2 linked regions of the Caenorhabditis elegans genome follow. The protein of the gene in region 2 interacts with the protein of the main gene of each other region in a pairwise test. Each region holds a gene or a part of one and is shown on either strand. Other genes may lie near its edges.

Region 1 (8,691 bases), on a different chromosome or scaffold from region 2:
TATTGATTTTAAGTTTTTTTCGAATTTAATTATCTGGAATTTGTAATAAACTTTTAAAATTGATAAAAATGATTTTCGTCAAATCAAAATCTTTCCAATAACCACCAAGATTCTTAGGCTCCGCCCATTTTGAGAAATTTCGTGGTGGGACCCGAGATTTCAGAAATTTTCGAAAATGAGCGCAGCCTAGGCATGTTGGGGGTCATTTAAAAGGTCTCGGCGTGCTGAGCACAAAAATTCACTCAAATTTTGAAAATAATAAATAGTTAGCAAAAAAAACTTTCGAAAAATTTTTTTTTTTGAAATAAATTTAAAAAACATACAATTTGTTGAAAACCGGTAAATTCGGTTGTCAGGTTTTCAGTAAATTTGGTAAATTCTTATTGTATTTTTTAAAAATAAAAATCTACTTTATTCTGCAAAAAATTTGGAAATTTAATTTCAAAAAAAAATTTGAACCTCAATTTTTTTCAAAATCTCATAACTTGGCTCAAAATCGGAATTTTTGAGCTCTGAAAAATGCAAATTGAAATTAAAATTATTTATTTAATGTTTTTTATTATATTTAGGCTACTGTCAAAAAATAAAATCAAATAAAATGTTTTGAAAGTTTCAAATCGAAATTCCGAAAAACTCCCATAACTTTGCTCAAAATCCATATTTTCCAAATTTTCAAAAACCCATTTTCATCCCAAAAACTCACTTTATAACTTCCGGGTACAATTGCTCTAACGGTTCCATCGACACACACGTGATATTGGGAAACGGCGACAAAGGACTCTTCCGGCGAACTCCATGAAACTAGGGCGCTACGTGATAACTTCTTTTCCACTATTAATTCTCGAGGGCATGGTACTGTAAGAAATATTGATTTTTCTAATTCAAAATTCAAAAAATTTGACTCCGAAACCTCCAAGTTGTTAATTATTGAAGTTTTAAAAAAATCTGAAAAAAATTTGTTTTTTCAAATTTTGTTTCAATTATTTCAAAACTTTATAACTTTGCTCAAAATCAATATTTTCTGGTTTTCTAACCTGTATTGTATTGATAAAATAATTTTATATATTCAAAATCGTGATTAAACACACGTTTTGAGATGAACTTTGAAAAAAAAATTTTGAAAAATTGAAAAAAATTTTTTTTTTTTTTTAGCTAAACTTAAACTCCCATAACTTTCTTGAAATTTAACATTTTCAAAATCTGTAAAAATAATTTTTTAGCAAATTTCTGGTTTCATCTTTCAGTCCCTCAAACACCCAAAAATATCAAGGAGCTCCGCTCGCCGCCGGCTCTTTTCAATATAAAAGAAGCTTCCTCCCCCTCCCCATTTTTTTCCTTTTTTCTCTCCACGGGTCATCTGTCAGTTCAGATTAGCTGTGTGCTGCCTACTACTGCTCACGGAGCACACACACACACACACTTTGTGAGCCCCCTTTCCAAATGGAATTAGTGCTGGTGCTCTGCGTCTCCGTTTTTTGCCCATTTTTGGATATGGGGCCCCCACGGAAAATGAATTATTCAAAAAGTTTTGAGGCTTTATTCTTTTATAAATTTTATAGATTCAGTGCAGATATTAAAGAAATAAATTATAAATCTGGGAAATTTTATATTTATTTTTTTATTTTTTCACTAAAATTTCTTACTTCCAATAAATTTTAAAATTTACTTCAGAAATTCGTTTTTTCTACATTTTCAGCTTCGAAATGAGCCCCATATTGGCTATAATCCGCCTGTTTTAAAAATTGGGAAAATTTCTGGGTCCCACCACGAAAACCCGTTGGGTTACTGTAGATCCAAATACCGTGCTCAAGTTTAATTTTAAACGAATTTTCAACACGTTTTCATACGTTTTGAAAAAAAAATTGTGCTAGAATCTTGAAAATTGAAAAAGTTACGGATTTTCGAAACTTTTCGCGGCGAGACCCATCAAAAGTAGGCGGAGCCTAAAAGAGACAACGACTGTACCAAATTCAATAATTTTAGCCAAATATATCTTCCATGAAAGTTTACGAAATGTAGATTTTTCAAAAAATCAACACAATAATTCTAAAAATTTTGGAATTTTTCGAAAATCTGTAACTTTATCAATATCTGAGATTTTCAGCTGATTTTTAGCCTAAAACATGTGTTTTAAGTTTGGTTACTTTGCAAAAATACAAAAAGTCAAAGACATCTATCACCTACAGTACCCCCAGAGTTTTCGTGGCGCGACCCGGAAAAAATTTCGAAAACTGGGCTTTTCATCGGAGCCTAGCCGATATGGGTGTTAAATTGAAGCTACTGGCAAGAAAAAATTGAATTATTAGTTTTCAAGAGCTTATCTCGAAAATTGGCTGAGTAGCGGCTCGATATTTGAAAATTTCGAAAAAAAAAAATTTTTTTTCGAGAATGTTTTAAAATTTTCAACTCACTCCTAGGCGTTTCGTTGTTCTTGATCTCTTGTACAGTAACTTTTGTGACGTCAGCTGGTGGGTAAGGGCAAACCTGAAAAATTTGAAAATTATATATTTTTGAAAAAATTAATTTAAAAAAATTTCAAAAAAAAAAAAATTCCAGAAAATTTTTTAAATTTTTTTTATTTCAAAATTGCTTTTCAAAACTGAATTTGAAAGAATTTTTAGCCAAATTTTCTTTAAAAATTCCTCAAAAACTTACAGAATCGGGTAGTGTTGAGTGATCCGGAGAGGAGAAGTCGTGTGTGATTGTCGAGAAATGTTGGGGTATTCGAAGCGGGAATGATGGTGATGGAGCCCGTGCATTTGCCAGGAGCACTGAATCCGGAACTCTGAAAAGATTTGGTTTTATTTTCTAAATTTTGGAGAAATAAAAAAATTTAGAAAAAAAAGTTTTTTAAATTTTTTTTTTTTTTGAAAATTATTCTTAAAATTATTTTCATTTTCCTTATTCAAAATATAAATTTTTTTCGTTTTATTAGAAATTCACCGCGTTGGGAGCTTCAAAATGACCCCAACACATGCCTATATCCTTTTAATTTTAAAATTTGGGTCCCGCCACGAAAAGCCCCAGGGAACTGTAGTTTTCGAGTTTTTCAGAATTATATTATTTTTGCCATATTTTTCAAATACTCACAATTGTTATACATTTTAATTCAAGTTAAAATCTCAAAAATGAGAAAAGTTATGGATTTTCGAAACTTTTCCGAAAAAATTTTCCAATGGAAAGTTCAAAATCTACCGTAACCCTGAGGATGCTGACAAAAAAGTTAAACTAATACAAAATTCAAATTTAGTTTTTTGAGACCTTTCATTTGACCCCCATCATGCCTAGGTTCTTGGTAAAATTGAAATTTTTTGAATTGTTGAGTCCCACCACGAAAATTTTCAAAATTGGCGGAGCCTGGGAATGTTGGCTGTCAAATTAAAGCGAATAGCGTGAAAAATTCGAAAATAATGGTAAAATAGAAAAAATCAAACTTTTTTTCGTGTTACAGAATTTTTAAATATTTTACAAAATTAAAAATTTTGATTTTTTTGAATCTTTTCGAAAATCCGTAACTTTGTCAATTTTTATGCTACTCAGCACAAATTTTTTACAGGGTATATGAAAAGTTTTCAAAAATTTATTAGAAATATAAAACTGCAAACTTTCCGTCTAAACTACAGTAGCCGGTGGAGTTTTCGTGGTGAGACCCGAATTTTCAAAGTATGGCGGATTACTATTTTGAAGCTGAGATTATGCTCATTCTGATTATTTACAGAAAACATGGTTAAAACAAAAATTAAAAAAAAAAAACTTTTTTGAACAAAAAAAATTTTTTTTCCTCAAAAATGATCGAATTTTCACATAAAACCTGCTCCAATGAACTCGTCTCGTTGAGACCTTTAAAATGACCCCCATATCGGCTAGGTTCCGTCATTTTTGAAAATTTTCGGATCCCGCCACGAAAACTACAGTACCCCTCCGTGGTGGGACCCGGAAATTTCAAAGTTGGCGGAATATAGCCAATATGGGGGTCATTTGAAAGCTCTGAACACAGAGAATTCGAATTTTGTATTTTCAATCTCAGACTCCGAATTTTAAATCTTTTTTCACGGGAAAAAGTGAGATTTCGCCCAAAAAAGTATAAAAAGCTCAATTTTTAAGCTTCAAAATGCTCACCTCTCTACATAATTTGATGGTACCAGTCCCTGACGTCCATCCAGCGTTTCCCCACAATAAAATCCATCCGAATCCATTTCCCCTTTCACCAGAACCACATCTCCCGGCTGAAGGCTCAGCTCGAGCTGTGGATTCTCGTTCGGCGAATCCCTTAACGGTAGATATTGAAAAAGGGCGCGAAAAACGCGAGAATTGGGTCTCGAACGGAGTTGCAGGAGCAACGCGTCACTCGTCGGTGGTACTGTAGACGCGGATGACGTCGTGGGACCCAGATGGTTGGTGAACGAGGTCGACGGGCCTGGCACCATGCCATAGGAGGATGCGGGGGGTGGTGGGGGCGGCGGACCGGGTCCCGACAGACCGCCCAGCATTCAGTTGGTGACTAGGTGGTCCGCCTTGTTGTAGGGACCCCACGAACCTGAAATTAATAATTTAAATTTTTGAAATTTTTTTTTTGGATTTTTTTTTGGATTTTTTTTTTGGATTTTTTTTTTTTTTAATTTCAAAAAAAATTAAAAACTCAATTTAAAGCTTTGTAACCTAAAAATTTGAATTTAGCCCTTCGAGACCTTTCATTTAACACCCATCTTGGCTAGGCCCCGACTATTTTAAAAATTTGGGTCCCGCCACGAAAAGTCCCGGGGTACTGTGTAGAATGTTAAATATATTTTTCTAAAGCTTTTCAAAGAATTACAAAATTTTCGAAACTAAATTCAGGTAGAAAAAATTAAAATTCGCAAAGTTATCGATTTTCGAAAATCTTCGAAAATCTTCGAAAATCCATATTTTTATTATTTTTTAAGATTTTTTCTCAATTTTTAGCTCAGATTGTGTCAAAATTATCAAAAAAAACTAGGAAAAATAAGACTAACCCAAATTCACCAAGACTACCAAACCCTACAAGTTTTCGTGGCGAGACCAAATTTTTTCATATTTATTAGAACCTAGGCAATATGGGGCTTATTTTGAAGCTCTCAGCGTGCTGAATTCAGATTTTCTAGTCCTGACACAGCATAATTGTCGACAACAAGAAAAACGGTCCAACCTACCGCCGAATGATGGTGTAGACGATTGATGGTTGTTGTTGGAAGAGGCCACGATGTTAGATCCCGGTGGGCGCCTGCAGGAATTTTTATTTTTATTTTTGGGGTAACTTGTTGGAGGGAAATCCACGGGTGAATAGAGAAAAAAATATTTGGGTCATAAATGGGCGGGGCCTAAATGGGCGGAGCTTAAAACTGGGCGGGTTTATAATGACACATTAAACATTGGAAAAAGAGATTTTTGAAAAATTATTACTCTATGAAACTGTAAATTTTTTTTTTGAACTTCAGGTAAATGGACAAAAAAAAATTAGTCAATAAAGGGGCGGAGTCTGGGTAAGAAAAGGGCGGAGCTTGCAAATTATTCAGACATTTCTATTTTAGGAAAAAAACTTTTCATACAAAAACCAACTAAAAATCGTTTGAAAGAGAAGCTTTTATTTTTTATTTTTTTTTACAAGAATTTTTCCAACAAAGGGGCGGAGTCAAAAAGTGGGCGGTGCTTGTAAACTGTTTAGAAATTTTCATCAATTTAGAAAAAAACTACTTCATTAAAAAAAAATTGTTTCAATTTGAATTTTTATTTTTATTTTTTTCAAGAACTTTTGCCAATAAGGGGGCGGAGTCAAAAAGTGGGCGGGGTCTGTGCGAGAAGTAGGCGGAGCTATATATATATATAGGTGGGGCTTTTGAGCAATTCAAAAAATTTTTATTAAATTTTTTTTTAATGTCGTTTGAATTTGAAGTTTTTTCTTCATTTTTACGAGTAGCCTAATAAACCGAATTTATTTTAAAACCAAAGAAAAATAAATGAGCACCCACATACGGGCAAAAAAGAGCACAAAAAGAGAAGAAGCTGGAGTGCAAGAGAGCCCTCCGCCCCGTAAAAAGTAGTGGGACTAGTCAATGGAGAAATAGAAGCAGAGACGGAGAAGAAGCGGGGGGACGGAGAGCACGTAAACTACTTTTATCGACTTCCACTCACAGACCACTTGTCTGAGAGCCCGATGTACTTGGCGAAATTTGCCGGGAAATTTGCCGAAAAATTGCCGAAATTTGGAAGTTTTTTGCCAGAAAAAGGTACAGCTAAACTAAAACTAAGATATCTCGAAAACTAAAAAAGGTATCAAAAAATTGTCAACATACAAAATGTGCATATTTTTGTGCTCTATATTTTGTTAGTTGACAATTTTTTGATAACTCTCACAAGAACAAAGTTATGGGGGTTTTAAAATAGAGGAGAGCAAGGAGAGACGCAGATTGCGAACTGAAACACCTAAATCTCAGCTGATAAGAAAGTTGTCAAAAATTTGTTAACTAACAAAACAATAAGCGCAAAATTCTACGTATTTTGTTAATTGGCGCCGACAGGGAAAAAAGTTACAACAAGTTTAAAAAAATTCGAAATTAAAAAAAAAAAAAAATTTTTTTGAAATTTTAATAAAAATTTTCAAATTGTAAGGAAAAGCTGTTGGATATTTTTGATTGGAAAAATAATGTTTAAAAGTACATATTACATGATTTGCGTACCGTGGGAAAGTTTGGAGCACAAAATTAATAAAAGAGGTTTTTTTTTTTAATATTTCATCTGAAAAAAGTTGCATTTTCAGACGGTGAAGCCTTTATTTAAGCTTAGATTATTAAAATTTAAGAAAAATGAAAAAATATTTGTGTACTAAAAATGCACTAAGACAGCTTTGAAATTGCTCCAAAATTCCAGAGAAAATAAATGTGAAAATTTAATTTTTTTTTTTTTGAAAGTTTTTCAGCTGAAAAAATTGAATTTCCAGACGGTGAAGCCTAAATTTAAGGTTTTTATTATTAAGATAAATTTTTTTTTATGTATGCCCGAAAAATGCACTAAGACATCTCAGAATTGCTCCAAAATAAAAAAAAATTTACGCTCAGAAGCTCAGAATTAATAAATTGCCAATTGAAAACAAATTGTTTTCCAAAATATTCCAATTTTTAAAGATATTAGAAACATTTTTTTAAAAAGGCGAAAGTTTCAAAAAAATTTTAATTCACTACAAAACCCTTTTTTTTAATTTTGCACCTAAATTGCACGAAAAATGCTCCAAAAAAACTTTCGAAAACCTAAAAATAGGATTTTCAGCCTAAAAAGTGCACTGAACAAGCTGAAAATGTTGCTCCAAAGTTCTGGAAAAGTTCAAAAAATGCTCCAAAGGTGCACACACACACACACACCCAGATGTATATACTACATGGAGAGCAAAACAAGGGGCGAGACCGAGGCAAGAAGAACTAAAAAGCGAAGAAGAAAAAGGAGGAGGAGGTCCTCTCGGGCTCCGCGCGGAGCCCCCCGGAGCAAGAAGTGCTCTGGCATGAGCGTGTGTGTGTGTGTGTGTGTGTGTGCAGCAGAAAAGAAGAGAAAAAACGAGTGTCGAGACACGCAGAGATGCAGAGAGTGTGCGCCTTTAAATGGGCTGAAGCTGCTACATGCTCACGGAGCACACACACACACACACAGCGCCCCGGGGACGAGGAGGAGGAGGACAGCGACGTCTGGATGAGCTTCAAGGAGAAGAGGGGGGGGGGAGGGGGGGGGGGGCAGTGAGCCCCCTCACTTTTTTTTTTTTTTTTTTTTTGGGAAGAGAGGAAGAAGCAGAAGAAGATGGAGAAGAAGAGGAAAACTGCTGGCTCTGTTGTGCTACTGCTGCAGGAACGTTTAAAAATAGAGAATGACAGGCATACCTATGGATCATGAAGAGTCCCTCTTTCTCAGGGTATAGGGTATAGGGCAGGGGTGTGCGGCAAATCTCAAAATTTGCCGAGCTCGGCAAATTCGGCAAATCTCTTTTTTCAATATTTGCCGAGCACGGCAAATTCGGCAAATTTGCCGAGCTCGGTAAATTCGGCAAATTTGCCGTGCTTAACAAACTCGGAAAATTTTGATAATTTTTGATGTTTTTGGAACACCAAAACTACCAAATTCTTAACACATATCTGGTTTCTGAATTAGTTCCGTGTAGTATGTATGTTTAAGCATCAAAATAGCTCAATTTTGTGTCATTTTACTAAATTTTTGGCGAAAAAATCAATAATTTTAGTCAAAATTGTACTGTAAAATTTTTGACGTGTGCGGCAAATTTCGAAATTTGCCGAGCTCGGCAAATTCGGCAAATCTACTTTTTTGAAATTTGCCGTGCTCGGCAAATTTGGCAAATTTGCCGCACACCCCTGGTATAGGGGTAATAGGTTACATTGACAAGGGGACTAGAATGGCTCTCATTTACAATCACCTCTTACACAGGAAGAGAGGGAGGTACCCCTCTTTCATGGTACACTCAAAATAAAAAAATTTATTTTTTTCCGAAAATCCGAGCTTCAAATCTCAAAAGTTGATCACATTTTCATAGCTCAACTCTGAAAAAAGTTATAACGACCGACATCTTACGGGTCTAAATTTGACGACTTACTTTTAGGCTTGAACTCATCGAAACTTGCCTTCTAAAAGGCTTTACAATAAGCCAAAAAATTTACAAAAGCCGAAAATAAACCTTTCCGT
Region 2 (7,582 bases):
GCCGTTTCGAGTGATCTGAAAGAAAAATCTGACTTGAAATGAACTTTTTTTGAAAATGTTTTTTCGGGGACTTCTTTCAAATTTCAAGCGTTTTCAGAATTTAATATCTAAATTTTTCTAGGTGCCAGAAGCTTCCAGTTCAATCAAAAAAACTGGCCTTCAGACATATAAATGACCGCATTTTTTTATAGGGAGATTTACTGAATTTGCATAAATTTAAAAATTAATATCTGACTTAAAATTATCTTTTTTTAAATGTTTTTTCGGGGACTTGTTTCAAATTTTAAGCGCTTCCAGAATTTAATTATAACATTTTTCTAGGTGCCAGAAGCTTCCAGTTTAATAAAAAAAAACTGACCTCCAGGCATATAAATGATCGCATTTTTTTATTGGGATATTTATTTAATTTTCATGATTTCAAAAATTAATATCTGACTTAAAATGAACTTTTTTGAAAATTTTTTTTCGGGGACTTGTTTCAACTTTAAAGAAACTCGGATTTTCTTAATTTACAGTAATCCTACAGTACTCCTGAAGTACCTCTACAGTACTCATACAGTATCTCCACACTTCCCAAAAAATATAAAGTTAATCATTAAGAGTTTAAAAATAATCAAAGATTGCGTGACTGCTGTACATCTTAAAGGCGCATACACTTTTTCAAAGCGTTCATTTCAAAACTTTAGGTTGTTTCGAGACCCGGTACCGTATTCCTAACCTCGCATTGTGTTTTTTTTTTCAAAGTTAAAATCTGACCCAAGAACTGTAAAACTCACTTTATCGGTCTTATGCAATAGGACAATAATAGCAAAACAACATGTAATTAAAAAAATATATTTAAAGACCATATTCATCTCAAAAAATCATAAAGTACGCTTTTTGTAATGGGTGTCGGTTATTAAATCAGAGAATGAAAATATGAAAACAAATACAGAGAATCCGAACAAATATGGAAAGCAATATAATGTAGGAGGGAGAGAAAGAGAGTGAGAGCTCTTTTGGATTGAACAAATGTATATTAACTACGTGGTTTTGGATGTTGAATAGGGAAATGAGCACTCAATAATCAATTCAAATTTTGTCGGCAAACGGAAAAAAGAGACATGCTCCGCCCTTATCAGGGTTTTTTTCCACAAAAATTTGAATATTAAAGTATTGCCGAAAGAATCAATCTCAAATTTCGCAATTATTGAATTAAAAAGGAGCGGAGCGTGGTTTTGCAAGCCTGCGGCGCGGTTTTTTGCATGTCGATTTACGAAGAGTTTTGTACTAGACATGGACATACATGTGTGAGTATTTTTTTTCGCTCGGTTTTACTCATTTTTTGGGCAAAATTCCTGTTTTGTACCTATTTTTCAAAACGACAAAAAAAATATTTTTAAAAGTAATATTTTAAAAATATTTCGGAAAAAATTAAAAAAAAAAAAGAAAACATTTTTAAAATTAATATTACGGGACCCTACAATACTGAGAATGCGTATTGCGCAACATGTTTGACACGCAAAATATCTCGTAGCGAAAACTACAGTAATTCTTTAAATGACTACTGTAGCGCTATTGTCGATTTACGGGCTAGTCCGGTTTTTAAATTGAAACCTGTAAAACCAGAAAAAAATGACATGCATAAAACCGCGCCGCATACTTGCAAAACTGCTCCGCGTCAAGGGTCGATCATTATGGTTTGACATTAAGATTAGTCACTTCCTACCATTCTTTCTGAAATAGAACCAGCATTTGTATCTCTTTTTATGAGATTTTTTTATTCAGAACAAATATTTAACAATTAAGAAAAAAAGAGGAGAATCAACAACAAAAAGGCATCAATAAATTAACAAAAATGGACAATAAAAATACGGGTTTTGAAGATCTGAGTTCTCAAAACAATTAACTAGAGAGTACTGCAGTTACAGATCGGCCAGCCAATTTTTCATATAATCACATGATTGAGGAGAGATCACATATCCTGGTCGACAATCCTCGACAACTGGACAAATAGCACACGGAACCGACACTAATGGAGAAATACTGGAACGTGGTGGACATGCACGGATCTTTCCATCAGCTCTTCGTTCAATTGTTCCATCCAACACAGCGACTTCGAGAATTCTTTCTAAATCTTCCAATGATAGTGGAACATTCAATACTCGTTTTTCGGTGATGAATTGGGCTATCTGGAAATTTTTTTAAAATTGATTACGCATATTTTTTGCTAAAAAAATTGAAAAACATCAATTTAATTTATTTTCCGGTTAAAAAAATTCACATTTTCAATTTAGAGTTTAAAAAAAAATTTTTTTAGAGCTATCAATAAAAATCAAACCTCTTGAGGACGAATATAGCTGGCTTCTCTTTGCATTTGAATATTATTCGGATTTTCATCAATCGCATGCTTTCGTCTGCTGGCAGCATATGAACCACAAACACTGATCAATGTATTGATGAGTTCCGAATCGAGTTGTTGATCAGAATAGAATGTTCCACCAGTCAATGACATATCTGGTTCAATACTAAACAAAATATAGCACTTCCTCGTAGTTCCAACAGCTTTGATAGTCTTGATCAACTTTTTCGTTTCCAGACTTTTCAATGTTTTTCGAAGTTGAAGCTGGTTGAGTCCTGAACCTTCTCGAAGTTCTTTTATCCATATTCCACGCGTCTTCGATTCTTCGATAAGACTGTAAATCTGTAATGAAAAATGTCAGTTTTTCTTTCTTCCGGATGCAAGAAATACTCACCACTTGCTCCTCTTCTGTTCCCGCAATCTGTTCACTTGTGTTAACTTTCAACCGGAGCACACCGCCAGGCGCTTGTTGAATAGCCAATTTCTTTGAGCTCAAAAGGCTATTGATCGCAGTCTGACGAACAGTTTGTGGCAATCCAGGTGTCATACTTGTCAATGCATCCATATCAATTCCTTCGAGAGCCGCTTGAACGATCTGCATCACTTGCGATTCGCTTTCCGCCGCGCTTATAAGTTCTTCTTTGATGGAAGCCATGATTTTTATCCGCTGAAAATTAAAATATGCATTAGAAAAATAAGAAAAAACATAAAATTATTGAGAGAAAACATTTTATTCGGTGAATTTTTGTGAGAAAATAGTGAAACTGAAGGGAGAAATAATAACTGCAAATTGCGAGAGAAAAATGATTCGCAATAGAGCGCGGTCGCCACACGGGGCGGGGCGATGGCAAAATGAGATGAAAATGAAGACTGTGGCTAAAAGCATTAATACTGAAGATTATAAAATAATAAAAATAGATAAATGGATAGAAAAAATGTTTTTCTAAAAGCTTATATACATAAAAATTATAAATTTTGAGAATTTTTGTTGTTCGTGGTCGGTTTGGCAGCCGCATTCGAGTTACATGCCATTTTTCGAAAATCTGAAGGAAACAAGGTGTTTGGCTTTTTAGCAGCTGTATTTTAATGCATTGATCATTATAATCAGTGAAAATGAGAAGAGTTATATATTTAAAATATTATTTTGGCTTGGAAAGGACAATTTTTCAGATTACTGGAGAATTGTTAGTTTTAATCAAAAAAATGAAATCCAAAATTTTGTTAAACATATCATAACGTTTCTTTTATTACGAAAACACAAAATGAATGCCCAGTGCGCAACATATTTGACGCGCAGAATATCTCGTAGCGAAAACTACAGTAATTCTTTAAATGACTACTGTAGCGCTTATGTTGATTTACAGGCTCGATTTTCGAAATTAATTAAAATCATTTATTTATGGATAAGAATCATACGAAAAAAACGACGGAAAATGAGTATCGCTGTCACTTTTGGAAAATTAATTCATTTCGAAAATAGTGCCCGTAATTCGACAAAAGAGCTACAGTAGTCCTTTAAAGAATTACTGTAGTTTTCGCTACGAGATATTCTGCGCGTCAACTATGTTGCACAATACGCATTCTAAGAGGTTTGTGTTACCGTAATATTGCATATTGAGGTAAATAACTTCGCAGTTGTACTGACAAAAGCTTAAAATTTCTCGCTTTCGCTAAAAATATTCTCAACAAATCCCCCACACTTATCCATTTTCTAATAAGTTTCACAACAACAATTTCATGCTACTCGGCTCCTAGTATTAGAGACCCCGGCTGTCTCTCGCATATTCAATCGTCATCAATGGAAAAGAGGAGCATTCAATGAAGAAGCAGTCAGTAGGAGTAGCCAGAGCCTGCTAGCAGTTGCCTTTCAGGGAGGCGAACAACAAGAGGGAAAGAGAGTGACCAAAATGGCTCACCATCTGCCACACACCGGGTGTTTGTGAGATATCTGCTCAGTGCTCTGCGTCTCTAGTTTGATCCCATATTCGCAATGTGTTCTCCGTGTCATTCTCCTCCAACAAATTATATATCCCTCAACACAGAGCTCCTCTTATGCCTTTTCTCCGTCTTGTTTGGCTCATACTCCCTCATTTTGAATCTCGTGTCTTCCTATTTTGCAATTCTCTTCTCACTCCCATATTTCATACATCTCGAGAAAAAAAAAGGACAAATTCGGCAAATCGGCAAATTGTACATTTGCCGATTTACCGAATATCAGATTTGCCGGAAATGTTTAGAGGAGTTTTTCTATAAGACGAAAACACTTAAACTTGTGCCTTTATGTAATTTTTTATTTTTTGAAATTCTAAAATTTCCAAAAAAAAACAGATATATGCAAAATCACAATTTGCCGACGATTCTTGGCAATTTCACCATAATTTCCATCAAGTTGGAATCAACATGTTTTCTAACTAAAACCCTGAGATTTATTCTTGATAGCAGCTGCAAATAGGTGAAAAATATCTGAAAATAAGGCCTAACTATACGAGTGGGCTGAAAGCTGAAAACATCTGAAAACATTAATAGCCATTTTGTAGATATAACATTTCCAGTTGCTTAGCATAGATTAATTTCCTCACGAGATTCGTTGGAGCTCTCTAATCCGATCATTCACCATCACACTTTTGATTTCGAAAAGGTGAATTAAATACTTTGTTTTCCCCCTCCAGAATGCACTAATCCGGGCACGATGTTTCGACTTTTGCCATTTTTAATCCTAGCCAATTTGCTCGTGATTCTGTGTATCCGTTTAATGAGCTATGAGCACCTGGCAGTTTTGCATTTTCATTTCGAAAGCCATAGTATCAGGAGGAAGAATGAAATGAAGCCTTGTTATTTACGAAAGGAGATTTGATGACATGCCTGAAGGATTTTAATTTTTTTAATATATAGTTTTTTTGGAAAAATCAGTTGATAAGTGTCAAGGGAGCAACATAACAATTTCAAATTATAAACTAAAATTTTTTAATGAGAAAATTAATTTCAGTAAGATCAGTTCTGAAAGGCACGTTTGTAAATCAACAGATAAATCTGTAAATTTGTGATCTAGATTTATAATATTTTCTTTCTTTCCAGAGAAGATTTCTAGATTCAGTCACTTAGATATAATTGGGTTTCGCGTCTCTAAAATTTTTTTAGCTCTAGTTTTAAAAAAAATCTTTAAATCTGAAATGTTCACCAGAATATTCAGCAGCTTCTGAAAATTTTTAGCATGTGGGTAGGACTTTACTATTACTCAGCAGCAGAGCGTAAAAAGTTGAAGAGACGCAGACATATCGGGACCCAGAGGGAAGAGTCGAACTTATGTAGATCTACGTCAATAACGCTCCGTAAATCTACACAACTTCTGCTCTTCCCGCGCCACGCCCCCTGGGTTTCAATATGTCTGGGTCTCTTCAACTTTCTACACTTTACGGTTGCGTAATATTTTTACTCTTCAAGAAAGAAAATACTATTTCTTATTTAGACCATAAATTGTCAAAATTCAATCGAAACTTTACACTTAGACAATAACGATGAACTAATGGTCAGAAAGTGGAATTGTCTTATCATTTCTTATCAGTGATGATGCTCTCTCTCTTTCTCACTATGTCACTATCATTCATTTAGGGGGGTACCAATCGGCGGTGAAAAGCAAAAACCGCTCTTTTTCTCATTTAAACAGAACACACACAGACGACGCTCACACTGCGCTCACTCTCAAACACACACACATACACACCTTTGGCCGCTCATAACCAAAACGTCTGGGGGCGCACCTCTGGGTGGTTGAATTGGGAGGACCAAACGGGGGGAACAACGTGTGAGTGTTTTATGAGTTCCTTCTTTGCGCACACTCCACCGCTCACACAGAAAAAGAGGTCTGCGCAAGGCAAGCATCAGCAGCAGCAGCACGCTCTCTCTCTCCCTCTCTCTCTCTCTCTCGTAATAGTAGTATTGGTTAGTAGAAATGGAAGGAAGGAGGAGGTGGAAGAGACGACGACGCAGAGTAGTGGTCAGAACATGATCAGAGAACAGGTGAAATTGAGAAGAGCAGATGATAGACTATTGGAGAGTAGAGAGACGGACAGAAAGAGATTGTGCGCGTTTTTGTGGTGTAGAGAGGGGAAAGGGTTGTTGGCCAATAACACTCACCGATAGACAACACAGCAAAAACCAAGTTGCACATGCTTCTTCCTTTTTTCTTTTTTAAATCATATTTTTCCTATTGGTATTTTGTGGGATTTTCGGATTTGGATAACGACTTTTTTTCTGATATCATTATTATTTATCAAACTCATGTTCAGGGGATCTGTATATGGAGAATTCCATATGCCGAACTGAAATGTACTTGACCAGTAGTGTCAGAGTTCTCCCTTTCGGTTTGATCTACCAGAATTGTGGGAATTTAGATGACATCACATTTTTCTGAATTAAAAATTCCGATTTTTCTGTAGATCAAACCGTAATTGGAGAGCCTAAAACCAGGTTCTAGACAATATCTTCCGCCCTTAAAATTTCAAATTTTCCGCTACTTTTCTTTTGACTGGAATTTCCTGATTAAAATATGCGGTACTTCGTAAGAGTAAATAAATCGGTCCCTGTCTCGACGGCTTCACCATTTTCTGGGGGCCAATGTCGTCGGCGCGTCCTTTCCGTCCATTTGAACAGCTTGGCAAATTGCCAACGTTCTCTCTTTTTCTCTCGCACAGAGTCTCTACTGGCCAACTTGGCAAAATGCCAACTTTGGCGTTGTATCATCTTGTGTGATTAGGAAGTTCCTATGTTTTCCATTACTTCCGTAGAATTCGGAAAAAAAAATTCTGAAAATCTGTACTACTGCGATGTTTCATTTTAGCTAGCGAGTCGAGTCCGCTGATCAAATAAATATCTAGAGCTAAATGAACTGATTCATTTTTCGTCTACTGATGAATATGAAAGTTTGTGACGTAGAATTCATCTGTTGTTTGATGTCATGTGGCTGGCCAATTGGGTTTTCTCATTATCAGGTCTGCAGTTTATGTTGGTTTTATCTGTTTTTGCTTCAAGATTGATCGAAAGTTTTCTCGATAATTTGAAAGATATTTAGTAGTTTTTAAGAGTTTTTGGGTTCAACAAATTTGTAAAAAAATGTTTGAGGGGGAAATGAATTTTTTAAAATGAAAATACATCAATTATTGTGAATGCCCAAATGTTAGGTCTCAGCACGAAATCTTCTGTTTCTTTTTCTTCCGTTTTCCTGATTTTGAAAGTCTATTGTAT

The links.
Region 1: the proteins of W09C3.4 (region 2) and rimb-1 interact in a two-hybrid assay, tested with the Caenorhabditis elegans proteins (one large-scale study listed by BioGRID).

Annotation. Positions count from the first base shown.
Region 1 is NC_003281.10:1,784,883-1,793,573, reverse strand, and holds the start of rimb-1 (Variant SH3 domain protein), read right to left. Parts: upstream 5,242-8,691; 5' UTR 5,169-5,241; intron 4,538-5,168; 5' UTR 4,491-4,537; coding exon 4,120-4,490; intron 2,786-4,119; coding exon 2,656-2,785; intron 2,485-2,655; coding exon 2,412-2,484; intron 856-2,411; coding exon 704-855; intron 1-703.
Region 2 is NC_003279.8:4,700,036-4,707,617, reverse strand, and holds W09C3.4 (putative DNA-directed RNA polymerase III subunit RPC6), read right to left. Parts: upstream 3,015-7,582; 5' UTR 2,997-3,014; coding exon 2,736-2,996; intron 2,684-2,735; coding exon 2,321-2,683; intron 2,172-2,320; coding exon 1,905-2,171; 3' UTR 1,733-1,904; downstream 1-1,732. Other genes in the region: W09C3.3 (Methyltransferase FkbM domain-containing protein), read right to left, coding at 1-15, 777-854. UniProt on the Caenorhabditis elegans protein: DNA-dependent RNA polymerase catalyzes the transcription of DNA into RNA using the four ribonucleoside triphosphates as substrates. Specific peripheric component of RNA polymerase III which synthesizes small RNAs, such as 5S rRNA and tRNAs.